4 linked regions of the Notamacropus eugenii genome follow. The protein of the gene in region 1 interacts with the protein of each later gene in a pairwise test. Links are inferred from orthologs where the notes say so. Each region holds a gene or a part of one and is shown on either strand. Other genes may lie near its edges. The genes, in order: HOMEZ, DNTTIP1, RNF8 and AEN.

Region 1 (7,287 bases):
CATGAACCGCACTGATGACTTGGTTTCTCTCCTTACTGGGTTAGTCAGTATTCCTATGCCTGCTGTACATTTCTGAAAGGAGTGTGGTATGCACCGCAGTGCTCTGAAGCTTTCTGGGAGGGCTCTCTTGGGGTTGTGCTGTTCCCTGCCTGAGCACTAGAAGATGAACCCCACTACCTCCTGGACTGAATTCTCATTTTCTCTGTCCTCATACCCTTCCATGCACACATTTCACGCAGCAGCACCATGGATTCCACCAATCCTGCCACCCAAAAGATGTCAACGTGTACATCTATCTTCCCCCACACCTACCCCCTTCTCCTTCCAAAACTTTGCTACCCATTGACTTTCTGTCCACATCCTTAACAGGAAGACAGGCAACACCAACCATCCCCAGAGTGATACACTAGTTTCCCAGGGCTGGCCCGGCCCAACTTACAATGGAAGAGACTTCAGAGTACAGTGAAAAGGAAAGTACAGGGGTTAGGTTATTTCTCTATTCAAACATTAATAATGTGACAAAATATATCACAGAAAATGCCAAGCAACAGAAAGTAGTACCATAATGAAAGGGCACACATTCACTCGTTTTGAACAAGAGGTGTGATCTGAGGGGAAAGAATTATGAGATGGTTGGAAAGGGGGCTTCTTTGTGTTACCAGATGCCATCACTTGCACCTAAATTGTAGCCTTCAGCCATCTGACTTCATGTTACTCCGGGTTCCAAGTCTTGTTTTTTCATGTATAGCTCACAAGGGATGGTGGTAATTCATCATCACTGGCTCTCAGAATCACAAAATGTGTTAAAGCTAAAAGGGAACTTCAATTGTCTAGTCTGGCTGTGTTAGGAGACTGAGGTCTGAAGAGGTTTGGTAACCTATTCAAGGTCACTCAGACGAGCTAATGGTAGCATTAGGGCTGTAACTTGGGTCCCCTGTGTTCTTTCTGTATTAGTTCCTAGGACTAGATTTTCCCCAGAAAATCTCCGGCCAAAAATACTTTCTCATTCAACAAACTCCTAGCTTTTTGACAAAGGTAAAAATAAATCAAACATCTGTTTCTCTTCAAACACTATCTTTAGGCAAGAATTTTCACTGTTCCTCTCCTAAGCTTTCTAAATGTTTCAGTTCAGCAGACTTTATTAAGCACCATAAACGTGCAGAGCATTGTGCTAAGTGGTTGTAGGTCAGATGAGGAATATACAAAATCCAGATAATGCAGGGTCCCTCCCTGCACATACAGAATCTAGTCTGGGGTATGACAGATACATAACAGCAGCAGTCATAGGAAAAAGCAACCCTGTGCATCATTAGAGAGCTGCAGCCTGGTCTGGGAGTTCCCAGGAAAGGATGTGAGGAATGGTGGTTACCACCTGAGACTGGGGGGCTGGCAGAGGACTTGGGGAGGCTTTCTGTAGAAGGTGACATTTCATTAGATTATGAAGAACACATAGGAATTCAACAGGTCTGTGGGAGTGGGGAGAGTATGACAAACAAGGAACTGTGAAAACAAAGGTCCCCAGACAGTCAAGTATAAGATACAGCAAACAGTCAGTTTGACTGGAGCATGGTATATGTAGAGGGGAATAATATGAGGTTAAGCTAGAAAAGGTAGAGTGATACCTTGGATTACAGACAAGAAGGAAGCTTTGAACAATTCTGAATAGGAGGGCACAACTAGATTAGTGCATAATGCAGACATCTGGCAGTAGGGGGAAAAGATGGCTTGAAGGACGAGAGCAGAGGCAGAAAGACCTATTAACATTTAAGCAGGTAATCATGAAGGCCTAAGCTAGGTTAGGAATGCTGGAACTGGAGAAGATGCAGGAGATGCTACAGAAAAGAGTCAATTGATAATGGTTGGCCTGTGAGAGGTGTGGAAGAGGTAAAAAAGAAAAAATAAAAGATGGTGACAAAACAGTCCTCAGAAGAGAGAATGGTTTTGGGGTTTTTTTGGAGCATGTGGAATGAGTTTGTAGTTGAGGATAGCTATGTGGAGCTCAGGAGAATGGTCAGGGCTTGAAACAGATCTGGGATTCATTTATGTAAGGACCACATTGGAGAGAAGGGATGTGCAGAGAGAGGCAGTAGGGAGAAAAGGACTGAGAAATACCTTCCTTAAAGGGTCAGGAAGAAGAGAGAGATGGAGCCTTCCAATTGAAATTCTATGATTCTAAGCCATTAGAGAAAAGAATCAGAACACTGTGATGTCTAAGAAGCAAGGGAAGAGAAAGTATCCAGTAGGGACTGGACAGTTACCTGGAAGTAAAGGTATATGAGTACTGTCATGAGGCAATAGAGTTCTAAGTGTGTTCCCTTTATTAGAAAGGTTGGCACTTGCCAATAAAATGGATCCTCAATAGCCAAAGACCTCAAGTTGGGGACAGGCGGCTCTTTTATAGTGATTAACAAGATGACAATAAAATCTCGACCAACACAGGCATGCCTTCTGATGGTCTAGATGTTTCATGGAGGAGGTGGGATGAATGTTTACTCAGCTCCCCCCCATTACATCACTGGAAAATGAGCTCAATTCTCAAGTGATGACGTCAGTCTGTAGGCAGTGGGAGTTGCTACGGCAGTTGTGAACGATGAGCCTGACCTTTACCATGCAAGTTTCTCCAGAATGTGGGGGAAAGGGGGAGGGAAGGTCAAGTTACCAGAGTGGAGGTACAAGTCTTCAAACTAAACCAAAGTGACCTGAGATTACCTGAGTACACTTGCAAGGTGTAAGGGATTTAGACTCACTGGGAAAGAAAGTATTAAATCTATGCTGGCTTAGTTAAGTTTTAACAAATAGAATTAAAAGTTAATTTTCAATTTCACAGGGCTAAGAAAGGTCATTAGGTTTTGGCATTAAGTCACACCTTTGAGAGGCCACTTGCAGTTGAGTTGTGTAGGACATAAAAATGTAAGGGGTTGTGGAGAATGGTTCGTATAGAAACATCAGATATAAACAACTTTTTGTTGAAGATTGGTAGTGAACCAAAAGAATGCCTCTATGTAAGAATTAAGTAAAGAAACTAACTGATAATGGCACAGGATGAAAAGACTGTATTATAATGAATTATAAGTGTGCTTTATAATCTGGATTAGTGGAAGGAGTTGCCCAAAGAAGTAAAATCATAGATCCACCAGAATATTGGCAGTGAAAGGAAAGAAATAAATGGGGTAATTGTTGGATTTGCTAGAAAAGTGAAGGAAAGATTTGGAGGGGGCGACTAGAAAGATTTGACCATGTTTATAGTCTTGTGAGAATGAAGCAGTGGAGATAAAGAGGGTGTGTGTGTGTGTTTTGGGGCAAGGGAGTTGGTTCAATTACTGGAACAAGGTCCTGGAAGGAGCTGGGATAGAGAAATACAAGAAATGGGTGAAAGGGGTCAAGGGCACAACTAAAAAGACCAGCCTTTGCAAGTAGCTGGGGATGCAATTTCTCTGAAGTAGGATATACTGATTCCATTCAACAAATCAGAGCCCTTTGGATGGCCTCCGTCTTCCCATTGAAATAGGAGACTGTTGCCTGCTTGGAAAAGGTCTGATAGTTTGAGAAAAAGTTTTACAATGTTCACAATGGGGTATATAATGTTAAGAAGTAGTAAAATGAACTGATGAGTTTTTCCTCTGCCCTCAGCCCTTGCCTTCCATTTTACTGGAGATAATAATGAACTGAAGTTGTCTGAAGGCTCTGAATCCACGATTCTAACAGCAGCAGATAAGAGGAAATTAAAATCGGCTGAATGTATACTTGCATCCTCACCCGTGCCCTCACATCCCATAACACTGTATGCCTCCAGTTCCAGCATGACAGTATGCCCCCAACCTCTCTATTTTACGATCTTGCGCCTGATTCGGGACCACCCATCTGAACACAACACCTTCCCTTACCTCTTTTCCAGATAGAAAACATTTTTCTAACAAATAAAAAATAGAATTAAAATGGAATCTCAAACACCTGCATAAGCAGATGTGTTCTGGGTCTGGGAGAGGGGATTTTGTTAAAAAGTGGGCAAATAGGCATCCCCTTTGTCAGATGGGGCAGCACCCTTCTACCAAAACAGCTGACTTTTCAAAGTCCCATCAGAACCTTGCTCCTGGTTGGTAAACCTGTGCAAGGTGAGGGTGTAATGGAGTGGGGAAAGGTAGCAGAAGTTTAAGGGTCATAGTAGGACACTTACCCTAGTGGTTTTCCAGGATCTTTCAGGCAGTGGAAAAGCCAATAGTGGAAAATTTGGAGTCCTTTTTTACATATATCAACAGCTGCCACTAGTCACAGGAACCACCTTGGGAAAAGAGCTCAGTTTAATTCTTCTTTAAAGCAACCCCCAAATCTTGAGTTAGTGAGGGGAAGGGTTCCCTGAGGGTTACATCCTTCTGTGCCATTGGTCATCTTACAGGCAGGCGTGAAACAGGGAAGATAAGAAACGATATAGAGAAGCTATAAAAGCCTTTCTGCCCTGTCTGGAATGGGACAGCAAAGAGTAGATTAATAATAAAAGAAGAAAATGAGCTTTCCCCCACCACCACCACCACCTTAAAGGACAAAAACCTTCAAGTCTCCTCCCCCATCCATCCTGGTGGTGGTACAGTCTGACTGACTCTAGCTTTGGGGCCAGAATCTTCCTACCCCTGGAAGGCCCTGGGGCCTGCCCTAGTTACATCATAATGAATGAGCTGTGATGTCACTACAGCTTGTCCCCGCTTCCCACCAAGGTTTTTTAAGTAAAGTCTGATATGCTGAAGGATAAACCCACCATGAGGAGCAGAGCCTCAGAGCGAGGTGAGTGGGGACAGCCTCATGACGCCCGATCCTCCTAGGCTCTCCACCACACTCCTGCTTTTCTCCCCTCGCCTCCCCCCACACTGCTCAGTTCCTCCCAGCTTCATCTTTTGTGGTCCCAGGCCACTATTCTAAAAATTACAAGTAGCTTCTCCAGCTTCCACTAGCTTTGTCCCTTCACGCAATCAGAGAGAGCATACTCGTGGCCAATAGAATCTGACCAAACTCATGTGCAAAGTGCATGAGCAAAAAAAAAAAAAAACTGAACAAACCTGAGAGAACTGGTCAAGTTGAGGGAGGGAAAAATCCGCTTTGCTTCCATACTCATTTCTAGCCATAGGAAAAGTGGTTTTGTTCCCTTTACTGCTTCAGTCAATCCAGTCTTTCTTGTGCTCCATTTTCTCTCTTCCCTCCCATGGGAAATAATTTTTAAAAGAATAGAGGGAGTCTCTGTGCTCCCTTCCCCCTTGTGGACTCTTCCTGAATTCAAATCTAGCCTCAGACATTAGCTGCGTCACCCTGAGCAAGTTACTTAGCTGTTAGCCTTGGTTTCCTCATCTGTAAAATGAGCCAGAGACTGAAATGGCAAACTACTCCAGTTTCTTTGCCAAGAAAACCCCAAGTGGAGTCAAGGAGAGGCAGAAGATGGGAGCAACAAGGCACTTGCCATCCCACCCTCCCTTGGTCTTTCCAGAGCTAGCTCTTCCACCTCTCCTGAGCCACAAAAACAAGATGCAATAGTCTGCCCAGGGCTAAGTAGCTGGGGGAAATCCCCACAATCTGTTTCCTTTCCACCCTCTATTCTGGTTTTAGAGCCACAGTGGCATGTCTTTGCTGGTCAATCCAGGTTTGTTTCATTTAGGTCCTATCCTCTAGACTACAAATTTAAAGCTGGAATGGAACTAGAAAGGTCATCCAGTCCAACCCTTTCATTTTCTTACAGATAAGGAAACTGAGGCCCAGAGGGATTTGCTCAAGGTCTTCTGACTACAAATCCAGTGGCCCTTTCCACAGAGACTCTAACTTTGACCAAGCCTGCACTGCATGGCGTGGACAAATGTCTCTGGCTTCCCTCCTAACTGAAAGTGATGTCATCCAGGGCTCTAACCTGAGTGGAAAGGTTCTGGGCCTTTACTGTGGATCTGTTTGGTGAAGTTTTGTCCCCAAATGATTAACATTACCAAATTTTAGTTTGAAGGATACCTACACAATATATACCGACTGGTGGGCAGGAGGGGGAGCAGGGATCATGATTACATGTAGTTGTATTTCAAAATTCTGAAAGAAGACTCCTGGCCAAAAACAGTCCTGACGGACCCCATCACAGTCTTGCGCAGTTCCCTACAGTCAGGCTATCTGATAACCAAAAGGACTCTAGACCCTGAAGCAGACCAGGAGAGCCTAAAATGGAAGCTGGAGTTCTCCCTTGTGAGGGAAGAATTGAGGCCCCTGTATTGAGCAAAAAACATTTCATCTCCCTCAGGCTATTCCCTTCCCTTTAAAACATAATGACCCTTACTAACTACCTAGCAAGGTGGTTACAAGAAGAATTCCATAGGAATAAGAATTGAGTGTACTGTGAAGAGGACCCAAATGGCAAGAAATTAAAAACTGCACAAGAAAAGGTGTTATGTAGTGGAGGGCCAAGGGGACGGCAGAGCCAAGTCAACCAGATGGGTTTCTTAAGCCCCTGCTGCCTGGCACTGCGCTGCCCACTGGAGGTAGAAACCCAAGCAGAAAGCAGTGCCCGCTCCCAAGGAGCTCACAGTCCGACAGGGCTTGGGAAGGGGGTGCGAGGAGAACAAGCACGAAGATGGGGTGCTTGGGAGAAGCTGGGATGATCAGAGGAAAAAGGAGCCAGAAAGGCTTCCTGGAGATGAGCTCCGAGTTGGGGCGGTGTCTGAGAAGATGAACGGAGAGCCCTGCGGGTGACACGGCGTGCCCTCGAGGATCTAGAGCAGAGGCTGCCAGACGTTTTTAAGAGAACATTTACTTAGTGCCCACCTGGAGACCTACTTTATTTAGCCCTTTGCCTTGGTTTAACTTCCATCATTTTTTCTAAACTGATGCAGCTTCAATCTAGTAGCTGGCTGTAGCTTTGGGAGGCTTTTCCCACACTGAAGTGCTGCCGACAGCAGGCCCGCAGCCCGGCACCGCACAGCGCGGCACCGCACGGACCCCCGCCAGCTTACCCCCGCAGTGACGTTAAGCCGCCGCTCGGCCGGGAAACGAGTCCGAGCACGTGTCTGGGACGCCTCCCCCGCCTCCCGGACGGCCCGGGCCCCGCCCACGGAAGGGCCCCGCCCACGGAAGGCCCCGCCGGCGCGCTCCCAGGCTCCTACCTGGTCGGGGCAGAGGCCTGGCCGCTAGGTGGCCGGAGCCAGGGCTCCGCCCCGGCCGCCCACGCGCGCTTAGTGTGACCCTGGCCCAGTCACTGCGGGCCTCACCTTCCTCCTCCGTCAGCGAGCGGCACAAGGGAAGGGCAGAAGCACTTCAGGGTCCGGAACGACT
Region 2 (7,997 bases), on another chromosome or scaffold:
TGAAGTAAACAGCACAAAAAAAATAATTAAGAAAATGTACAATGAGGAAAAAGATGGGAAATTAACAAGCCAAAAATGAAATATCAAAGAAAAAGAATCCAAGACCAGATGGATTTACAATGAATAGTATTCAAAAAAACTATTAATTCCAACATAGCATAAACTAAATGCAGTGATAGGGAAAGGGATATTTCCAATCTCTTTCTAGGATACAAATAAGAATCTCAAGGGAAATAATGAAAAAAAGTGGGAGGAAAGGGGGCCTATCAATACCTGATCTCATACTACACCATAAGGTAGCAATCATTTAAATGATTTGGTAGTGGTTAAAAAACACAGAGGTAGATCGGCGGAATAGATTAGATATATAACACAGAGAAGCAAAAAAATAAAAGGGCACAGTATTTGATAAACTCGAAGACATTAGTTACTATTAGAGATGCACTTGACACACAAAAAGGTATCAAGAAAAATTTATTAAAATAGAGTTCAGAGGAGGGAGTGCCTTCTATGTTCATTACGAACGGATAGCTTCCCAGTAAGGCTATAGGAAGAATTCAACTTGTTCAGATCAATGGAAGCTTCTTATACTGTTCCGAATTTTTGGACCTATCACCACCTGTCCCTTGCCACTTGACTTCATGTTCTCTTCTCTGCTAGGCTTTCCCTCAAACAGCTCATCAAGCCTGTGCACAAGTTTCTGACCTCTACCTGACCATGCTAGGTCACAACCCTGATCACCCCAAACTGTGGAAACAGAACTTCCTTGTTTCCCACAGTTATTGGGATAAAAATCTCAATATCTAACAAAAATTGATGCAAAAACTGGAAAGCAGTTTGGCAGAAATTAGGTATAGACCAAGATAAATTCTGAATGGGTACATGACATACATAAAAGGGAATATTTCAAACATATTAAAAGAGCAAAGAAGAAATTATCTTTCAAATATATGGAGAGAAGAGTTCATGATCAAACAAAGAGGGAAGGTCACAAGAAAAAATGAATAATTTTCATTATGTAACATTTTATAGGTTTTGTATAAAAAGATGAAATAAGAAGAGAAATAGGTAACTGGGGGGAAAAATCTTTTCAGTATATTTGTGTTGTGCCCTATCCAAAATACAGAAGGAACTACTTCAAAATTATGAGACTAGAGCCATTTTTCAATAAATAGCCAAAAAAATAGGAACAAAGCAGTTTTCCATGGAAGAAATCCAATCTATCAATAACCATATGAAAAAAATTCTCCAAGTCACTAAAGATTAAAGAAATGCAAATTCAAGCAACTCAAGAGGGTCCACCTCAGACTCAGCAGATTGGCAAAGATGATTAAAAAAAGAAAATGACAAATGTTCAAAGGGCTCTGGGAAAATAGGCACACTAATGAGCTCTTGGGGAATCTGTGAATTGGTTCAGCTATTTTAGAAATCAATTTGAAAGCATGCACAAAAAAAGACACTAAACTGTTAAACCCTATAACCCAGCCATGGATTACTAGGTCTATTCTGAAAAAAAAATTTAAAAAAAAATAAAAAAGACAGAGGAAAAGGATTTACATGTATAAAAATATTTATAGAAGCTCTTTGATAATATTCCAAAATTAGGGTCTAAGTGGGTATCCACTTATTGGAGAGTGGCTTAACAAATTAAGGTATATGAAGAAAATTAATATTTATTGTGCCACAAAAATGACAAAATGGACAGCTTCGGAAATAACTGAGGTCTCTATAAATTGATGAGTGAGGTAGGCAGAACTAGAACAATTTATACAACATTTTTTAAAAAAGGATTTGGAAAGACTTTAAAACTCTGAGCAACGCAATGTTAAGGCAAAAGTTCAAAAGACTGAAGATAAAACATGGCCCCACCTCCCACCAGAGAGAAAATGGACTTAAAATGCAAAAAGAGACGTACATTTTTGGACTTGGACAACGTGAGAATTTGTTTTGCTGAACTATGCATATTTTGGGGGCGTTTTTGTTTTCTTTTTTTTAAATTGTTCGACTGAGAGATAAGAGAGCAGGAGATGGGAAAGAAAACCAATACTTAAAAAAAAAAATTAAGAGGATGAAAACTGGTCGTAGTCAAAAGGAGGCAACAAAGTGCTTGAGCACTCACCCCCAATTACTTGGTACACCGCAGTACCAAAGATGAAAAGCACCATGATGGGGCAGAGGCTGCCTGAGGATAAGGGTGGGGGCGCAGCATGGACCACAGCTTTAAAGTTTCCCCAAAAAAACAGCTCAGGGAGAGGCCAGAACCTAGGAACTTCCCAGAACTCAGCCCCAGAACCTTCTTTATACAATGCACTGCCAGGGAAATTTCCTGATTGGAAAAAAAAAAAATGGATTGGTTTCTGACCTGATAGGAAACTGTATTTACAAAGAACAGACGTGGGGAGAATAACAGGTAACAGTATGTTCAGCCTCAAAGCCTAACACATTTTCCAAGTGTTACAATGGACAGCTGGTGAGGGCGCTATGGATGACTGAAGAAAGAGTCAAAGAGAAGCAAGCCTACAAGTCTGTTTAAAGAAACAGTACACTCTAGCAATGGGGCTGTGGCTAAAGCAAACTCATTGTGTCCTAAACCTAGCACCCCTTCAAGCTTCTCATTCTGTCCAGAGAAGGAAGCAAAGATACTAAAAAAGAAATAGTTAGAAAGATGCAGAGACCCACTCTAATGAAGTTGCATCCAAAAGCAAATCAAATACATCAGGATTTAGTCAACTTGAGAACCCTAAAAACAAAGAGCAAAGTTACAATTTGGAGGCTCCTAAAAAGCTATAGAAAGCATTAATGTTGTCCACAGTCAATGGCTAAAAAATGACAAGCATCGTCTTTATCTCTCTAAGCTCAACCACAAATGAACAAATGAAGAAATTGGTGGATCCACACTATGAGTAGGGGTAGTTAAGTGGTCCAGTGTGCAGAACACTGGAGTCAGGAAGACCTGAGTTCAAATTTTACCTCAGACACTTACTAGCTGTGTGACCTTGGGCAAGTCACTTAACCCTGGTTGGTTCAGTTTCCTCATCTGTAAAATGTGCTTAAAGAAGGAGTAGGCAAAACATTCTAGTATCTCTGCCAAGAAAACCCCAAAAGGGGTCACTGAAGAGTAAAAACTGACTAAAAACAAACAATACTGATGGTGTGATGGGACCTAGACCCTGAATTTTCCCACACAACCCAGCCCCTGGCATCTTGCCAGAGGCATCTGGCCCAGTCCTGCCCACCTAGATCTCAATAGTCCTTTCACTGTGGCTCTGTGACCCACCCCAGACCACTTAATTCAGTTCACTGCCGCCATCTCAGGCTATTTACTCCTCCTTAATCTCATCTAGACCATTTCACTGTTGTCCCTGGCCCACCCCAGGCCATACCTTAATCCCATCAGAATCTTTGGTCTTTTTTTATATTTAAGTATCAATCTCACCCCCTATCAAGCTGCAGATTCTTTAAGAATCTAGTGTACTCTATGGGTGTTAACTCTCTATTGGTGTTAGGATAAACCTTGCTCCTCTGACTGAAAAAAGGCTTGAGTGCTTGAATTCTTTCCAGGCAGACTCACTCTGTACCCTGACATTTAAGGGTTCCCAGCTACCCCAAACCACATCAATACTATGGGTGCCAATAACTGCTAGTAGCACTCTGTAACATCTCCCTCTTTGTTTCCCCTTTTTTCTCCTTTCTTACTTCCTCTCTATCCTGCCCATGCCTTAGTTTAGTCAGTCACTGCAAGAACCATAAAATTTCAGAACCATAAGGAATCTTAGAACGTAAGCCATAAAATAGCAATACTAGAAGGGACTTCAGAGATTACCTAGTCCAAATTCCTCATTTTACTAAGAAGAAAACTAAAACCCTGAGAGACATATACCTAGATGCTAATGGCAAAGCCAAGGCCAGGATACAAACTGGATCTCAAGTCAGGTGCTTGCCTGATCACCCCTGACACCCATAGTCATTCTGCAGCCTTGCCGGTGGCATTCAGGGCTTACTAGGTTGTTGAAAGAATCCTAACAGAAGAAGGGAACTCAGAACTTCAAGTGAAAACTACCGTAAAATCCAAGGCCTGAAGGAATCTTTCTCCTGCAACAGCAAAAACCAGTGTTGGCTTTAGAGGCAATTCCTGAAAGTGCCATACCTTCTGTGAAAAGTGAAATCTTTTCTGTGCTGTAAACCCATCCATGAGTCTGTAGGATTTGTCTTCAAGCTCTTGAAATGCCTCACTTGGGTATTTAAGGGCTGGTCCGGTCCACATTCCCAGCCAGGCCCCCAAATCACTGGTATCTAGGCCAGAGGGATTCTCCTTCCCGCCCAAAAGGCGTGACTTACTCTTCAGGCTTCAGCTCCTACTAAGGGTGAATCACTCCGATAAGAGGTCGAGGTGTTCAGCCCCAAGGCTGATTTACCTTAGACCCTCGGTGCTGGAAGGCATTTCCGAGATCCCACCTCATGGACAGCGACTCTAACCGAGACGGGCAGACAAGGGAGAGGACGTGCCCACAGTGGGTGGAGGTCAGCCTAGAACCCAGGTGTCCTGCCTCCCAAGTCCTGGACCCCAGGAACTCAAGAATATCAGAGACGGAAGGAATCTTAAAACCCACCCCAACTAGCCAGGTTCATTTTACAGACGAGGACGAAGAGGACCAGAGAAGGAAGGAGACTCGCCCAAGATCCTGCAGGGACGCTTCTCTCCGCGGCCGCGGGCGCAGGGGCATTTAGGGAAACTCAGTTTTCAAACTACCAACCGCCCGGCCCCCCCCCCCCCTCGTAGTTAAACCCGCAGGCTCGGGGGTGGGGGTGGGGGGGTCCCATCAGCCACACCCTCCGCAGAAGCCCCGGCCGACGCCCACCCTAAGCCGCCCTGGACCCCAACAGCCTCTGCTCTCCCTCTTCCCCTTTTCTCCAGCTCCCGGACGCACGCGCCGCTCGGTTCCCATGGCAACCTCGCCGCCTGCCGCGTCGCTCTTCCGGGGGGCGGGGCGGCGCGGCGCAATGACGTGTGACGGGCTCGTTTCCGGCCGGTGGCTAAGGGGCTGGGCCGGACCCCCGGCTGCAGCGGCGACAGCGGCTGGGGTGGCGGCGGCGGCCTGGCCGGGTGCAGGAGGGAGGGAGCATGGGGGCCACTCGGGATTCAGAGCAGCCGCGAGGCCCCAGTGGAGCGGAGCGGGGCGGGCCCGAGCCTGGAGACGAGGGCTCGGCGGGGCAACTGGTGGTCACGGTGAGAGAGGGGCTTCGGGGAAGGTGGGCACGGGCCCCTCGGGTCGGGCCGGGTCGAGGCCTGTCGGGGCAGGGAGCTGGGCTGGAGCGGGGGGCTAGGCCTGAGAAGGGCCCCTTGCCCAGCCCCAACCCCTCCTCCGTCGTCCGAGATCGGGGGCGCAGGGGGCTCACCAGCGCCTTGGTTCCCGCAGAACCCCTGGAACATCATGATCAAACACCGGCAGGTGCAGCGCAGGGGCCGCCGCTCCCAGATGACTACGAGGTGAGCCCGCTGGACCCGGGGACGCTGCGGTGGCACCAGCACCAGCTGCCCCGGAGCCCTCACTGCTGGGGGGGCGGGGGAGGGAGGAAACGGGGAGTCTTCCTTGTTGGAGGCTGGAAATGGACCACTGAAGAAGGTCAGGAGGGCGGACCCAGCTCCCTGTGTGCCGTGAAAGAAAGGGCACTGATGTAGAATGAGAAGATCTAGAAAACAAAGTGCCTCCGTTTATAAAGATGTAAAATGAGAGGGTTTTTTTCTCTAGGTGATTTCCAAAAGTTTGTCTTCTCTGGACCTCAGTTTTTTCTCTGCAAGATGAAAGTATAAGTATTTGGACCAGTTAGTTTCTTGGGTACATTCCAGTTCTAGACCTCTGACATTAGGCAAGTCAGACCTAGACCTTACCTAGACTTCTATTTCTCCCTCTGTAAATTAAGGATGATTCTAGGAGCATGAGATGACTTAGATGGGTTCTAAGGGCATTTTCTACTCTTAACATGTTTTTTCCCCACAATGTTCCCAAAAAATGGAAGATTGTAAGATCATCAGGGGTTAGTTAATGGCCAGCTAGTGAATTAAACAAGTCGATCATGATCTTCCCCGCGTCAAAATCCTTCACCTTAACATAAATCTTCTAGATTCTGCCAAGCATTTGTGGTGATCATTGACCAGTCTTCAGAACTTCACGTGTGTATTTGGGTCTGGAAGAAATCAGAGCCAAAAGTCTGTAGTCTGTAAAGCCTAGTTTATTTATATTCCAGGATCAGCTCCCTCCCAAGACAGATCCCAGAGTTGATAGTTAGATATAAACCCTAGGCTATGCCTATTTTATATCTCCCAAACTAGATTATAATCTCTTTCAGAGCAAGGACTGTCTCTTAAATTTATAATACTGTAAATGTAATAGGAACTCTAAATGTTTATTGATTGATTTTTTGATTGACCATGTTAGAAGTCCTTCATCTTTAAGGTCAGGTATTTATTTAAGGATTATTTAATATAAGACAAGCTATGACAAGAGTCATTGCCCCTGGCAGGACAAAGATGAATAAAGCATTTGTAACTAGTGTGACATTTTTCCCCTTTTTGAAATGCAGCTTCACAGACCCTGCCATCTCTATGGACCTACTTCGAGCTGTCCTACAACCTAGCATCAATGAGGAAATTCAGACAGTCTTCAACAAGTACATGAAGGTAAGTGATGTTGGAGGAAAAATGGGCAGGGAAATACTAACAGACGCACCCTGTTTGCTTGGATCTAATCTTCTACATCAGAATCTGAGTCCTCCTGGGACCCTAAAATCCACCTAATCCAACTCATATATGTCAGAAAATCTTCTCAACCAACATTTCCAGTAAATAATCATCAGAAAACATCTGGTGAGGATATAAATATTCTCACACTGGGTCAGACTTGCAGTCCATCTGTCCTACTATTCTGTTGCTGATAGCCCTCAGGAATGTCCCATGGGAAGGTTTGGTTGTCTTCTCCGATTTCAACCTTAAAGGATAGCAGAAATAAAGGTGATGTCCCATGCCCGATTCAGATCTAGGTGAGTCCCATTTAAGGAAAGATATCAACAAATTGGAACACATCCAAATGAGGACAATCAGTGTGGTAAAAGGCCTGGAGTAATTATTGTTGTTCATTTCAGTCATGCCTAACTCTCTGTGACTCCATTTGGGGTTGTTTTGGGCAGAGATACAGGAGTACTTTGCCATTTCCTTCTCCAAAGGGCTTGAGAACTCTGCCATAAAAGATAGTTTGAAGAGCCTACAGATTTTTAGCTTGAAGAAGGGAAATTTTCTGAAGTAGCTTCACAGATGGAGGGAGGGATGGATAGATAGGTAACTATCTGGGATCATTGAAAGAACTGAATTTAAGAGGAATTAGAGGAGGAATTAGATGTGCTGATTAGCCCTAGATGGCAGAACTTAGATCAGGTAGAAACTGCAAAAGCAGATTTGGGCTAAGTATAAAGAAAAAGTTCATAATAATTAGAGCTATCCAGCAGTGAAATGGACTCCCCTAGAAAATAGGTAGTGAGATCTGTGTCACTGGACATCTTCAGGAGGAGTCTTGGGCAACCACTTGGTCTGTCATAGTGAAGATTCTTTTTGAGGAACAGTTTATATTAGATGCAATCAGAGATCCCTTTCAACTCTTAGATTCTTTGAAGTATACCCCACAGCTATTTATGGCTCTGTCATTGATTCACTTGTATAAGCCCTTTATTTCTTCTGTCTACCTGCAAGGCTTTTTGTGGTAATGAATTCCATTGCTGTTGTACACCTCTCGTATGATGTAGGACTTAGCATTAAAGTCTCAGATTTTTAGAGGTTACTAAATCTCAGAATTGAGGGGAACTGGGTACTCAGCCTTCCTTGTCCAGTCTGTCTCTGAGAGAGCATTTACTCCATAACTTTTGCTTAAGATCTCCATCAAAGAAGAACCCCCTCCCTTCAAGATAACTATCTTCATTTTTGATAGCTGTTGGGAAATTCTGCCTTA
Region 3 (6,827 bases), on another chromosome or scaffold:
TCATATGGTAGGTTACTGCTGCCAAATACTGTATATATTTACCCCAATGCAGAAATTTTAAAGGTAAAAAACCTAGGTTTTATTTATATGCTCAAGCACAGTATGCTTCAAAGAAAGACAAAACCTGAACCCCAACTAGACGTCTTACAAACCCTCTTATAGGTAAAATTATATCAGAGTGACAAGAGAAATAATGCTTTTACATATTGCAATCTTGTAAATTTCTTTTAGATCACATAAGTTAAACATAAGATAGATCCATCAGCTCATACTTTTTCCAATGTCATAAAAGTCAAACAAACTTGAATTATAATCTCTTAGTTCATGATCTCTCATCATCGCCTTAAGGAAATAAACTTTGTCAAACAGACTCTACAGGTAAACTAAGTGAGGTTACAGATTAAACTACATTTCTATTCACAAATAGGCAGATTTACATGTTGGCAAGGAGTCAGGAACAGCTGAGATTCTTCCATGGGCTTTTTATCTAAAGAATGTTTATGGCTTTAAGTAAATTTTCACATCTTATGGGATAGGTTGATATTAAGACAGGGTTTTAGTTAGCCAGAATTTGCAAAAAGGAATGGCCCTGAATCTCAAATAATAAAAGAAAATAAAAAATTTCTATAACAATCTCAAAATCAACCTGACCAAAAGTCAACTCACTTGCTTTCCAAACTTCTTTAGTTCTACTAAGGATGCTGCATCACCCTCCCAGGCGCTCAGGCTCAAAACTATAGAATCATCCCTGATACTATGCTCTTCTTACCCCCAACATCCAATCATTTCTCACATCCTGTCATTCTACCTATGCCACATTTCTTTCTTTCAACACTTTCTCCTCTGGACTGCTGTTATTAACCTGCTAATTTGCCTCCTCCCTGGTCATCTCTCTCCAATCCATTTTCCACAACCTGTCAAAATAATACTCATAAGATACAGGTCCGAGCAGATTGCTTCTCTGTTCAAAAAAAGTGAAGAAATAGCGATTCCCTGTTGCCCCTAGAATAAAATGCAAAGTGGTTAGCCTGATATTTAATGTCCTCCACAATCTGGCAACAACCTACCTTTTCAGCCTTATTTAACATTACTTTTCTTCACATAGTCTACCTTCTACCCAAACCGCACCTCTGGCTATTCCCCAAACTGAGTAGTCTTTGATTGCCTCTGAACCTTTCTCCTTAGAATCTAAGAAGGGGACCAAAACTGTCTCAGAAATAATGACTCAAACAACAAATGAACAAAGCATTTGATTAAACATTGCTGTGTGCAACACACTGTGCTAAGTGCGGGGGATTCTAATAGGAAAGTAAGACAGTCCCTGCTCTCAAGGAGCTCACGTTCAACTTGAAGAGACAACACTCATGGAAAGGTTCAACTCCAAGACAGATGGAAAAGACCCAGGATCCTTAGGGGGCAGTGGCAAAGCATATGGTTAGTTATGTTTCTTAATGTCATTTCCACTGATAAAATCTGTCAGTTTCTGATGCCAAACCATTTGACAATGACAAGGACTTTGGTGAGAAAAGCATCTTCAGTAGCCATGGCTGCAGCACCTGCAGGAGCAGTGAACAGGCTGTATCTTCACAGGGGCTGCTTCCCAGGATGATGGCTGGTCTGGAAGCATGGCTATTTTCAAGCTCTTGTATTCATCGTCCTAGGCTGTCTCTATCTGGGTCTGAGGGGAGGTGGTGGTCAAGATGGTGGTTCTGTTGAGTTGAGTGAGGCACATGATGGCCTCCTGTCTCTCAGGGTGCCTTGCTGTTTTATGAATGACATGAACTAATAAAACCAGCGTTAAACATTCTGTGTAAAAGCAAAGGAGACTAACCAAAAACGTCAAAGGGGTCTAACTTAGCAAAGTATGAAAAGATGCACCATATATGAGGTGTACCCAAGGCAGTGTGCTGGAGCCAGCTGGGAAAAGAAGAACCTATTATGGTCATCTAAATGCTCTGAAATCAACAAAGGCTTGAATTATTGTTTTGTTGATTGTCTAAAGTGATGGAGAAAATGTTAATAATGTAGATTAAACTTAAAAGTGTCTTGCATATTTTTTTTGGAAGAGCCAGTTAAACATTTAACAGCACACTCCTGCCAGGGGGCCCTTATCTCTGTTTCAATAAGGACAGAATAAGATTAAATGACGTTGAAAGAGGAGAAGCCAATGTGAAATACTCTATTTGCACAAACAGAAACCATCCCCAAATATAGATTACCTCCCTAAGCCTCACTTTGAAAAAGGAAAAAAAGTTATGCACTAAAAAAGATAAGCAATTTTAAGTCACAGGTTTTATATGTCCATTTTTTGGGGGGAGGAATAAAGTTTGGATCTATTGATTTAGAGCTGAAACAGATCTTGGAGATCATCTAACACAAACCCCTAATTTTACAGCTGAGCTCTACAATAAACATATGAAGCATGATAATGTCAGGATCCGCATGCCAAGACCAGCGCTCTCTTTTTGCTCCCCTCTCTTTACTCTTAGGAGACAACCTTGTTTTCCAGTGCTAAGGCCCAGCAAGCAAGCTGTGTCCTGAGCCTAGCATAACAACAATCCTTTCTGCTCACCCTCTGGATGAACACATCTGCAACAAAATTCCAGAACTGTTTCACACCAGCACAAGTTGGTACCTGAGCTCTAACAAACACCTGCAGGACTCATGTTCTAGTCAGGAAGCCCTGCTGCGAATCAAACGTGTCTCACTTTTGTAGTTACTCCTCAGTGTCCGGGCTCCAGCTCACTGCTTAACCACTACTATATCTATTGAGATTTGACCACACTAAGGTAGATTTTCTCTGTATCAGAGGAGGCCCCAGGCACCTGTGTCTAGTTTCCTTCTTCTAACAAAATAAAAAATGCTTTTCTGCTTTAACTACTGTTAGCTCTTTGGTCTTATTTTATTTTCCAGAGTTAACTATGGTTGGGATAACTTGTGTGAGCTCTTTGGTATTTTCGGAGTTAAAAGAGACTCTGATCATCTGTTTTCAGGGTTGAGAAGACTCATAAATTATTTAACTCCACTTAAAATGTATTGTGAAAGGTTTCTAATTTTTGTCTTTGAAATACTAGTTCCCAGTATATTAACACAAAGTAAGGGCTTAACTGATTCTTTTTGTTTTGGAATAAAATAACATCATTTTGGAAATAAAGTACAAGTACTTCCAAGTAGTGTATTTATTAAAAGTAAATACGTTAAGCCTACCAAACGCTCATAATTTTAAAAATAACTTTTGAATCAATACAATTCAAACGTCATGAACACAATAAGCACTTATATGAAATGTTTGTAAAGCGCTTTACAAAGTGCCTGGCACGCAGAAGGCGATTAATAAACGTTTGTTCCCTTTGCCCCTCTCCCCTCCCCCTCCCCCATTCATTGTCTGGGCCCAGCATGTCAGTTTCTCGCACCGCAATTAGGCATCCAGCGAATGTAACAATGTCTCAGCCGCAACTTTACTTTCTCCATAAAGCTGGGAGAACATCAGCGCGGCTCTGTGGCTCTGACTACAAGCAGAAGTTCACCGAGAACAGCCAGCTGGTGAGGAGACCCCGCCTCCCGACCCGGGACAACAGAGGACGAGAAGCCCCCACGGCTCCCCCGCCTCTCTCCCGTTTCCCTCCCCACCTCCTTAATGCCTCAAGGACGCATGCGCTAGTGCTTTCACGGGGCGGGGGTGGGGGAAGAGGAGCGTAAGGGAAGGATTGATACTTTCTCACGTGCCGCGACTGGGGCGGGGAGGGGCGGGAACGGGAGCCGGGGCCTTCGAGCGTCCGTGGAATCGATTGCAGTTGCGTAGGCCGGAAGCGTTGATTGCTTCGGTCTGTTACTTAGACATGGCTGCGGCGGCGGAGCCAGAGGTTCCAGGAGGCAGGCAGAGGAGGGACGGCCGGGCCCGGGGGCCCGGCAGGGGCCCTGCCCTGTGCTGACTGAGAGCGTGGCCGGGATTAGGTCCGGGTCCGAGACCGGAATCGGGCCTGGGTCTGTGCCGGCCTGGCCGGCCATGGGGGATCCCGGTGGCGGTGACTACGACGGCCGCCGAGCCTGGTGCCTGCGGCGGGTGGGGATAAACGCCCAGTGGCTGCTGCTCGAGGATCGCAGCGAGGTGAGGGGGGAGGGGCGGCCTGGCCGGGCCGAGGGAGGAGAATGAGGCCCCAGGACGGTGGGGTGGGAGATGAGGCCGCCCGGGGGGTGAACCCAGTGTGTCTGCCTCCGCAGGACCGGAGGGAGAGGGGGGGGGGGGGGGAGTGTGTGTCCTGCTGAAAGAGCAGAGGGGGAGAAGCGGGGCAAAAAATAAAAAAATCTGCCCTGCCGGGAGAAGGAAGGGAGGGGGTGGCCTTAGAGGAGTGAAATGAGAGGCAAGAAAATCAGTGCCTGTTTTATGATGAGCCTTTTCGACCCCCCACCCCAGTCTTAGATCCCTTCATAGTCAATCAGTAAACATTTATGAAGTGTCTACTATGTCCCGAGCATCGTGCTCTGCGCTGGGAAGCTCACAGTCTTAATGGAGACAACATGCAAACTTTAGACAGGATAAAAAGGAAATTGGCGGACTCCAGAATTAAGAGGGCTTGGGAAAGGATTCCTGTAGAAGATAGGAGTTTAGTTGGGACTTAAAGGAAGCTAGGAGGAGAATTCTAGGCCTGGGGAAGAGCCAGTGAAAAAGCCCTGGGTCCGGAGACTAGGTGTCTTTTTGGCAGAACAGAGTACAGTATCACTGGATCGAATTGTATGTGTGGGGGATTAGGGGGAAGAAGGGGGGGTGGTGGTAAAAAGAATAAAAAAGTGGGTGGTGGGGCTAGGGTGTGAAGGGCTTTGAAGACCAGAAGATTTAATATTTGAACCTGGAGATGATAGAGAGCCTCTGGAATTTATGGGGATGGGGGAGAACAAGGGGTGTGTTTACATGATCAGATCTATACCTTAGGAAGATCACTTTTGACAACTTAGTGGAAGATAGACTGAAAGGGGGAGACAACTTGTGGGAAAAAGATCAACGAGCGGACTATTGCCGTAGTCCTGATAGGAGGTGGTGAGAGTCTTGTACTATGACAGCGTCGTAGGAGAGAAGGGGAACAGATGGGAAAGATGTTGCAAAGGTGAGATCACTAGACCATGGCAACAGTTCAGATACCTTCTTACAAGGAAGTGACACTTCTGCTTGCCAAATATTACCCTTCTTGAGCCCTTTCCTTTTCACCTGGCCGGAGCTTGCCCCTCAGCAGTTTAGTCCATCTTTTATTCTCTTGGTGGATATTGGCCTCATCCACTGGCTCTTTCCTTTGTGCCTAAAAACATGCTCAGATGTTACACAGTCCTTCCCTTAACCCTGCTTTTTTACCCCCAGACACATACAACACTCTGTTTCTCTTTTTGTTGCCCAGCTCCTAGGAAAAACTCATTGCCTCACTAAAAGCTCAGTACCTCACTTCTCAAATCGCTTCTCTTTGGTTCCTGACGTTGCCATTCTGCTCAAACTGCTAAACAAATAACCTTTTTTAACTGTTAAGTCTGATGGCCTCTTCTAAGGCTTCTTTCTTGAATTTTCTTCATTTTTTCACGTTGTCAGCCACCTCTTTTCTTGGATATTCCTTCATCCTCTGGTTTCCTTGATGGTTCTCCCTATTCTTTCTTTTTCTACCTAGACCTTTGAGTCTGCTTCCCTTGTTTGGCTCCCTTCTATTACCTTTGGTGATCTCATTTGTTTCTGTGGATTTAAATATATCTATGACTCAGCATTTTTGTTTTTGGATTAAACCTATGATTTTATTAGCATAAGAAGCTCTCCTCAAGAAACTCCCTCTACCAGTGCAGGTGGGTAGGTGCTGAGAAGTGATTTGCTCCGCTCACACACCCAGTATTTAGGAGATTGAAGAGGAAATTGAACCCAGGTCTTACAGATTCTCAAGCCCATTTCCTATCCATTGTGCTAATGAACTCAAACTATATATTTTTTGTAAACCTCTACTGGAAAGGGATTTTTAGCACCCCTATATTTGTGTATTTATAAATTATTTGCATACTACTGTATGCATATAGACATATTATAAAACATACAAAACATAAAAAAATGAGATAGATGAAATAAACAATTTTTCAAATTTTTATTTAACAATACATTTTGGTTAAACAGATTGTGATACAGGGGCCTAGTGCTAATTGTGGTGTATCTTGATACTTTATCTTAATGATTGGCATAGCTGAAAAAGATAACCTCATATAAAGATATTGTCGATCCGAATGGAAGAAATGCTTCATTTGGTTATGTTTGCTAAATCAAGAAACACAGTTTCCAAACCCAGCCACGACAATTATTCATAAGTTTTTGTTGAATTTGTTTTATTAATAACTTCCATCTTCCCTGGTGTCAATTCTTACAAACTATTCAGAAGATAGTACCTTTCTTTTTTTTTTTTAACAAATGAGTTGAAAACCTTTTGAAACTTTTAATTTGCTAGATTTCTAAATAGGCTGTAAAATTTGCAAATTTAAGTGTGCAGATAGTTTTTATAAGTGACATACATTGTTTCTGGCAACAGAAGCTTAGTTTTAAAGGTCATTCTAATAATACTAACTTCATGCTGTGATTAGCTAATATCTCAAAGCACAATATAAACTTAGGGTGAAGTTGTTCATTAATAAAAGATAAATAAAAATAAAGCCACATTTGCTTAATCATAGGTTTGTGGATTTAGAACTAGAAAGGTGAGTTATCAAGTCCAACCCTCTCACTTTACAGATAAGGAAACTGAGGTCCAAAGAAATTAAGTGGTTCACACAACTAATGTGTATTGGAGGAGGAATAATTTTTTATATTTTTGGTT
Region 4 (7,861 bases), on another chromosome or scaffold:
AAGGGTGGCCAGGGAGGTTGTGTCATCAGGAGGGATCCAGATCCCAATGGGAGCCAGGGATGAAGGGAGTGGAAAAGGAAAAGATTTAGGATGAAAGTATTGGTTACCTACTGAGTATCTATTCCAAGGAACACAATGGAAGAAGTGGGTAGCTTCAGAGTGGGACACCGCAGTCAGCAGTGGGGAGGGGTATATGTGAATAGATTTTGTATAATGGAGGAGGGGCACTTCAAGATGATTTGGATGGGCTGTATATGATGGGGTTGGGTATTTTTTAATCATTGTCAAATGAGTTCTGGAGAATTAATAACATCACTAGATCCATTAGTCTCAGGGTGATGACCTCTCAGGTTGTTAGGCAGCTCAGGCTGGGGACTAGTACGAGGACTTGCCAGAAAAGGTTTTCTCTCCTAGTGCTTCAGGCAAGTCAGACCAAGCCAGGAGATAAGTGGAAGAACAAGAAGGAATGACCTCTCTGTCGCCTGAAGGAAGGAAGGGTGGGTCCTCTCTAAGTGGGACAAGAATAGCCCAGGAGATCTGGGCAGATGAAATAGTATTGACCAGAGTTTTAAAGTCAGAATTGTTTAGTTTTACAGTTACTGTAATAATTAACTGTATAATTCGTTCTCCTGGTTCTGCTCCATGCACTCTACATCAGAGTGCCAGTCTTCTCAGGTTTCTGAAACCATCCCCTTCATCATTTTACTAACCCATTCTTAGCACTTTCCACACTGCTCTAGTTTATATTCCTGGAATTTAAGGCAGGTGTTAGATCAGAGCACAGGTGCTCAAGCTGTGGTCCTATGACCCCGAGAGATCCCCTAGACCCTTTTCTGTCCTTGACAAAAATTTCAGGGGCTCGATGAGGTCAAAACTATTTTTATAATAATACTAAGATGCTATTTAGCTATTAAAATACTCTTCTCCAACTACATATGTCTGTGTAAGTTCAGATTTTCTTCATTTTTTTAAAAAACCACAACAGCATATGACAACAGATGGAATGCAGAAGCAGAAAAGAGAATCCAGTTGTCTTCTATTAAGCTGACATTAAAGAGATATGCAAAAATAGGTAAAAACTACATTTCTTTTTGTTTTAGGAAACACTTTTCATACTTTCCTTCATTACCGGTTGGCTTTTGATTGTTATTTTTAAATGGATTAACGCTATTTTTAAAAATGACCAGTTTCAAATTTTAACATGGTAAAATATCAAGAGATATAATCAAAAGCTCTTGGAGATCTTCAATCATTTTTAAGAGTGTAAAAGAGCTCCTGAGACCATAAAGTTTGAGAGGTGCTGGATTAAAGCAGTGACAACTGAAACGCCATAAGGTGAGAAAGAGAGTTAGAAAGAGGGAGCTAGGAATTGTATCTGAAATTTTTATTTTAAAAAATTTTCTTTTAAAAAAATGTTCTTTTTTCTGCATCCGGGTCATTTCTCAAACTCAGTTTCCCACCCTCCCCACAGAGTCAAGCCAAACAAATCGATACACGGACCAGGATTGAAAACAGAAGCCCCGTCTGTCCCCAGGGTCTCCAGGAGAGGCTGGGAACGGCTGCAGGTCTAGATCAGAGCTCGGAAGTGTTTCCGTCTTCCTTTACTACCGCGCTAAGGGTGCCTCCGGCTCTGTTTACCGGGCTCGGTCCCGCAGACTTTACCTTTAAATCCAGCCCGCAGGTGAGGAGGACGAGCCCGGACACCCCGCCCCGTCCTCGAAGCCACGCGTCTCGCGGCTTCCGACGGCTCGCCAACGTCAATCCCGTGACCAATCAGAGGAGCGTAGGGGAGGGCAGTGCTGTTGAAGCAGCCAATCGGCGGAGAGCAGAAGCCGGGCTTGCCCGGGCATGTGGGAGCCTCTGCCTTCTGTGCGACCACGTGGGGGCCGGAAGGGGGACTTGCGAGTGTCCGGTAAGCCGTGAGGTCGGGGGCTCGGGGCCTTAGGGGAGGGAGACCCTCGGGAAGTGGCAGGGCCTCGGGGCGGGGGGCGCGGACTGAGCAGGCGTGGGGGTGGGAGGGAAGGCCGCGCCCGGAGGCCGGCAGTCGCAGCCTCTCCCGGTTGCGGCCCCCTTTATGACCTCGCCACGCGTAGAGAAAGGCCCTGGCGGGGCCGGGAGAGCTTCTGGATCGGGCTGGACCGTAGGGTCCGGGGGGGGTGGGGGGGGTGGTAGGGCTGGAGGAAGGGGCCTTAGGGGCCGTCCTGGTGAGCCCCTTTATTTTACAGAGGAGGAAATGGAATCCCCTCCCCAACCCCCCCAGAGCTTAACCGACTTATCCCAGGTCAGGGCCCGAGGCAGGACTTGAACTCAGGCCCCCTGACTCGGGGTTCAGAAAAAAAGCTTGGGCTCCGGGAGGCCAGCCGTCCAACGCCGCCCCTGCCGCTTGCTATCCGCGTGACCTTAGACAAGCCAGGTAACCAACCCCCCTGGGTCTTTGAGTGTCTTCCAGTCCGATCTTGGGACTCCACAGAACCGCAGTGCCTTCCCAGGATCTCGGCTTCCCCTCCGCTAAAACTGGGGAGCGGGTCTAGGTGAGGTAGGAGAGTCTGGGAGCTTTGACTTCTCCTGGGCCTTGTCAGCCACCCTGCGGCTCCTTGAAGGTGGGTGTCCAGTTTGAGGGCAGCCCTGACTGCGACCGCGTCCCTGGAGGCCCTCCTCTTGGGGACTCAGCCCCCATTTTCCTTCAGGCTTTTCTGTGGATGATAAAAGATTACAGAAATGTTAAAAATTGAAAGAGACTTTAGCTATCACCTCCTAATTTCACGAAGGAAACTGAAGCCTGGAGGGGCAGAGTGATTTGGCATAGTTGTTCAAGTAACAGAGTCAAGATTTGAACTCAGATCCTCCCTGTGAAGAGGAGTGCACTCAGGTCTATTTTATCATCAGGCTTCTCATTCAAGAATCATGAGTCTGTGGATGCTCCAGAATTCTGGAGGGGTGGTAGTGCTGAATTGGGTCCAGGAGCCTTGGTACTATAGAAGAAGAAAGATTGATCCAGTGACTCAATGGATCAATGACTCTTTTAATAAGACCCCTCTGGAATGTGCCAAGTCTGGGCTATGTTAGTCAGAGCATTAGTCACTCAAAGATAGGTCAGCACTAATCACAGCTTACTGTGGCTCTTGAGAGCCTATCCTTTGATGAGGTCATGCTTATTTCTTACAATTCAACCTCACCTCTTCCCTGTGGGGTGAAAAGAGGTCCTGGAGACTTCTCAAGTATCACCTAGTAACCAGAAGTCTAGAGAGTTTAAGTATTATAACAGAATGAAATTTTAGATGTCAGGATTTGGAAGGAACTTTAGAGGTTCTATCAGGGAAAAAAATCTCTGGGGTAGGAGTAAAACAGTTCTGAGTTCCAGCTCTGCCATTGTCATTGTCACTTGTGTAGTCTCAGGCAAATCACTTAATGTCTCTGAGTCTCAGTTTCAGCATCTTTTGAACAAAGGGGTTGGAAAGATGACCTCCACAGTTTCTTCCAGCTACAAATCTATGATCCTATTTGCTTAGTCCAACCTCTTAATTTAATAGATGAGGAAACTGTGCAGAGAGGTTGGTGACCAAGGTTGGTAGTCTTCTGACCCCCTTCCTCAATCTAGTGCTTTTCATGTGATCTGGCAAATTGCTGGCAGAGTCCAGAATGCTAATCTCCTGGCTCCTTGCAATCCTCTCTCCACTGGAATTCAGATTCTCTTACACTGTGTTCATGATTTGTTTCTCAGAGTCTTGACTAACTTGGATTCCCAAAGCTCTGGAACTTGGCTACCATAGTTACTCTCCGATGGTGTCTTCTTGTCCATTAGGGTTTATATATGTAATCCTACAAAGGAGCTTTAAGATTGCCTGCTAGAACTCATTCATTCTCTTCCCTACTTATAAACCTCTCAACTCCCACAGGGCCTAAAGAGGATCATGTGGCTCACGTTTTGTTTGTTTTCCAGATGACCAGATAATTGTATTGATTTTGCAGGATCAGGCACACATTGGGAAATTAATGTGTTGTGTCTGAAAATAAAGAGTATATGTTAAGGGCTCTTACCATCTCCATTCAGTGTTCTCAGGAAGCCAGTTCTGATGACCAACTGACCCTCGGTGGGGGAAAAGGGGTTTGGTCATTTCATTTCTCAGTGCCCCTCTTTCCTCATTTGCCTGATAGGAAGAAAAAGCACTGCTATCAAACCCTTTAAATTGGTGTTGTTGCTATTTTACATATGAAGAACACCAAGGTCTACCAAGGCTAACTGACTTGCCCAAGATGACAGAGCTACCTAGTGGCAAAGCCAGAAATAGAATCCAGGTCCCTGACTTCTGTCCTAGGGTTTTTCTATTATACTTGCACTGTAAATAAAATTTGAGTAAGGTCAGTCTATGCTAGACTCTTGACCTGAGGAAAAATGACTCCAAATGAGATTAGGAATTAAAATCTGACTACTTTGGTATGGGGATGTGTAAAACAAACCACCCACAAATTAGTGTCACTCAAGTGTGTTATCCTGCTGTGCCCTGCCTTTCTGCTGCTCATCCCTGTTCCCCTAGAGGAAACAGTCCAGCTCAGACTTAGAATCGGTTCCTTGCAAATACCAGGCAGGACAGATAGGATCTGAGCAGAGGCAGGGAAAAGTTTATGGCCACTGGGGTTTCTGCTTGTTCTATATATGGCCTAAGATATACCCTAATTCTGCCAGATAGGGTATTTAAAAGAAATCTTTTGAGATAAGCCCATTGTTTTAGATTCAGGGAGAATAGGAAAATCCCAGCTCTACTACCACTAACTGCTATGTGATTTGGGGCAAATCACTTTCAGGACTTCAATTTCCTCAGCTGTAGAATGAAGAGAAAACTGTCTTAAAAACATTGAGTGACATGCCTGATGTACTAAGATGTACTGAGGTTAAGAGGTAGGTGTTAAAACCAGGTCTTTTGACCTCATTTACACGTTAAAATGTTTAAAATAACAAAAAGGCAAAAATGTGGATTGGAGTATAACAACAATTTTATGATAAAGATTGAGTTAATTAGAGAAGACATCATTAGAAGAGGTGAATCCTGACCACAGTTTATAAACAAGGGATTCATTGATTGTAGATGGTAGAGAGGCAGCCTAAACCAGTAAGAATTAAAAATTTATAAAGATGAATTTGTTGGTCTGCTTCTAGATGGCAAGGAGTGGAACTACTGACATACTCTAAGTACAAGGTTTATTCAGAGCATGGAAACCATTGAGGGAAATTCCCACCAAATGATTCTAGGAGATGAGCGGCTGTCTTACTGAGCAGCCTTGAGTCCCAGTTATGGGACTGGGTTTGGGAAAGCAAAGCATATGCATAACCCAGGAAGTCTCTATCCAGATTGTAGATTCAGTGGCCCAACCCTGGTAGGGTTGCTGGAGCCTTTTGTAAAGGGATCGTTTTAGGGTAACAGAGGTCCCAGATACTTTTGAGCATCAGTCATGAGTAAAATCCTTGACCTTGGGCTCCTGCTGTCCTTGATTATAAGGACAATCCTTACCTAACTGACTATTTCAGGTAGACCCCAGACCATGTTTCCTCTTCTTGGCAGCCATCTTGCTGCCTTGTCTACTCTTGCTCTCATGACCCCTCTTCTCCATTTTTAGTTCTCAATCCATAATCAAATTAATAGTGCCTTTGCTTTTGGAAAGAGGGTGTGTTCATATAGCTCAACTCACTATATACTATTTTCAAAATTGAATGCCTGACTAGCTACCACCCCACCTGAGATGCCACAGGCTTTGGCTCCCACTCCACAATGTAAATTTTATCTTCATCTGTCCCATCCCTGGCCATCACTCCCCTTTTGTATTGTCTCCTATTGGAATTTCAACCCCTTTATGGGAGAGACTGTCTTCTCTTTTTAATTTGTAGCCCCAGAACTTAGTATGCTGTGTACAGACCCATAATAATTAAATGCTTTTTCATTCACTTATTCATGGATTACTAGAAGTTCTTTGCTGCCTGGGTCTGCACTAGTAGATTTTTCAGTCAGTCTAGCTGTTTCTTGTCTATGTGCGTTGTTCCCGTCACTGGGGGAAGGAGTCTGATCTCACCAGCTTGCATCCATCAGCAAGTTGTATGTAGGGTTTGTTTAGTAACAGTAAAGGGGAGGAGTTGGCAAACAAGTAAACTCAAGCAAGTAAAACTCAAGGGTACCAATTTAAAGGATTAGCCATACAACCATCTCATTGTACCTGGGGAAAAATCCATTCACTTCTATCTGATTTGAGTCTAGAGATCTAGGCTCCAATCTTGGCTCTGACATTTACTATACATGTGACCCTTTCTAGTAAGTTTATCTTATGACAAGGTAGTTTACTTTCTGAGTTTCAGCTTGAAGCATGTATGAAATGGATAGGGAGGGGTAGAGGAAATCCTTCCCCTGGTCCCTTCTCACTCTGATGATTACTCTGACATCTGTTTCTTGTCCCCTTCTTAGGGTGCTGAGCAATAGTGGATCAGAGCCTGGTAGAGAGATGGCCACCTACGTTCCCCTCACTGAGCTGACAGGTATGGCATCGAAAGACAGCTCCCAGTACTTTCAGTGCTCAGGTACACCTTCTACCGAATCCAGTGATAAGGACACGTCTCGGTGGTGGCACAAGAGGAGGAGCCGGCGGCACCAACGGTTCATGGCACACAAGGCGCTTCTAGAAAAGCGAGGTGTGCTGATTACACCTCAGGAGTCAGAGGGTACCCTCCAGTTGGCCAGATCAGAGGTTCTAGAGGATGCAGAGGCCACCAGGTGTAGTACACATCAGGTTACACTTGGATCACCTGGTACCCAGCCCAGAAAAAAGCCAATACAGAAGATTGAACCCAGCAAGGACACTGCCTCTGGCCATGCTATGCCCAACAAGTGTGTGGCCATTGACTGTGAGATGGTGGGTACTGGACCTGGTGGGCGGGTGAGTGAGTTGGCCCGATGCTCAGTGGTGAGTTACCATGGGGATGTTCTATATGACAAATACATCCGGCCTGAGACACCTATTGTGGATTATCGAACGCGCTGGAGTGGCATCACCCGACAGCATATGCAAAATGCTGTCCCCTTCAGAGTGGCACAGAAGGAGGTATGGAAATGGCTAGGGAAAGCCTTGTTGATATGCTGAGAAGTATTGGGGGAAGGCTTAAGATTCATACTTTCCTCTTCAGAGAATTTGGGGCAACTTGCAAATTGAGGACAAAATAAAATTGAAAAAATGGAGCAGGGAGGCTTGTGGAGTCTTCATCTGGCCCCACTTCTACCTCCTTTTTCACAGAACTTGTTTGTGTTACTAATAGCAGAGCCTGATTTCCCCTTCCACAGGTGACTTGAGCCTGGGGCTAAGAGTATGGTGTCTGACAATTATCTTGGTTCCATCCTGTGAAGGATAGTCTTGTGTCCTCGACTACCTTTTATAGTTTTTTTTTTAGGGCAAGAAATGACCTTAAACTCTTACATCTTCTATATACCCAGCAGTAGAGGCTGGTAGTATCATGTAGTGCAGAGAGAGCTGACCTCAAAGCCAGGAAAACCTAGTATATCTAATATTACATCTGACCCATATTGGCTGTAACTGAACAGATCAGTTAACCTCCCAAATTTGTAGGCAGTTCTCCAAGACTAGAAGTTGTAGAGAAGGGCCAACTTGTGTTGGAACTTGGAGTTCAGTGAAATCACAGGTCTAGTGTAGCACCTTCTTGCACACTGTTGAGTGTGTAGTGCTCAGTCCAGAAGTAGGGAACCTGCTGTCTTGCCTCTAGGCTGCAGGTTTCCCACCCCTGGCTCAATCAGTGGCTTTTGATAGGTTAATGGAGGTAGGATGAGGGGAAATCCTTACCCCAGCTGAAGAAGTTGTCCTAGGAAGA

What was found.
Region 2: the proteins of HOMEZ (region 1) and DNTTIP1 interact in binary tests that used the Homo sapiens proteins (3 or more experiments, as listed by UniProt). The two-hybrid records come from large-scale screens. The link is inferred for Notamacropus eugenii from reciprocal best matches to the Homo sapiens genes HOMEZ and DNTTIP1.
Region 3: the proteins of HOMEZ (region 1) and RNF8 interact in binary tests that used the Homo sapiens proteins (3 or more experiments, as listed by UniProt). The two-hybrid records come from large-scale screens. The link is inferred for Notamacropus eugenii from reciprocal best matches to the Homo sapiens genes HOMEZ and RNF8.
Region 4: the proteins of HOMEZ (region 1) and AEN interact in binary tests that used the Homo sapiens proteins (3 or more experiments, as listed by UniProt). The two-hybrid records come from large-scale screens. The link is inferred for Notamacropus eugenii from reciprocal best matches to the Homo sapiens genes HOMEZ and AEN.

What each region holds. Positions count from the first base shown.
Region 1 is NC_092878.1:9,850,370-9,857,656, forward strand, and holds the start of HOMEZ (homeobox and leucine zipper protein Homez), read left to right. Parts: upstream 1-4,275; 5' UTR 4,276-4,730; coding exon 4,731-4,776; intron 4,777-7,287. UniProt on the Homo sapiens protein: May function as a transcriptional regulator.
Region 2 is NC_092872.1:475,368,811-475,376,807, forward strand, and holds the start of DNTTIP1 (deoxynucleotidyltransferase terminal-interacting protein 1), read left to right. Parts: upstream 1-4,978; 5' UTR 4,979-5,122; coding exon 5,123-5,227; intron 5,228-5,417; coding exon 5,418-5,488; intron 5,489-6,582; coding exon 6,583-6,679; intron 6,680-7,997. UniProt on the Homo sapiens protein: Increases DNTT terminal deoxynucleotidyltransferase activity (in vitro). Also acts as a transcriptional regulator, binding to the consensus sequence 5'-GNTGCATG-3' following an AT-tract.
Region 3 is NC_092873.1:95,060,545-95,067,371, forward strand, and holds the start of RNF8 (E3 ubiquitin-protein ligase RNF8), read left to right. Parts: upstream 1-3,814; 5' UTR 3,815-4,006; coding exon 4,007-4,108; intron 4,109-6,827. UniProt on the Homo sapiens protein: E3 ubiquitin-protein ligase that plays a key role in DNA damage signaling via 2 distinct roles: by mediating the 'Lys-63'-linked ubiquitination of histones H2A and H2AX and promoting the recruitment of DNA repair proteins at double-strand breaks (DSBs) sites, and by catalyzing 'Lys-48'-linked ubiquitination to remove target proteins from DNA damage sites.
Region 4 is NC_092872.1:168,159,399-168,167,259, forward strand, and holds the start of AEN (apoptosis-enhancing nuclease), read left to right. Parts: upstream 1-4,847; 5' UTR 4,848-4,862; coding exon 4,863-4,897; intron 4,898-6,449; coding exon 6,450-7,083; intron 7,084-7,861. UniProt on the Homo sapiens protein: Exonuclease with activity against single- and double-stranded DNA and RNA. Mediates p53-induced apoptosis.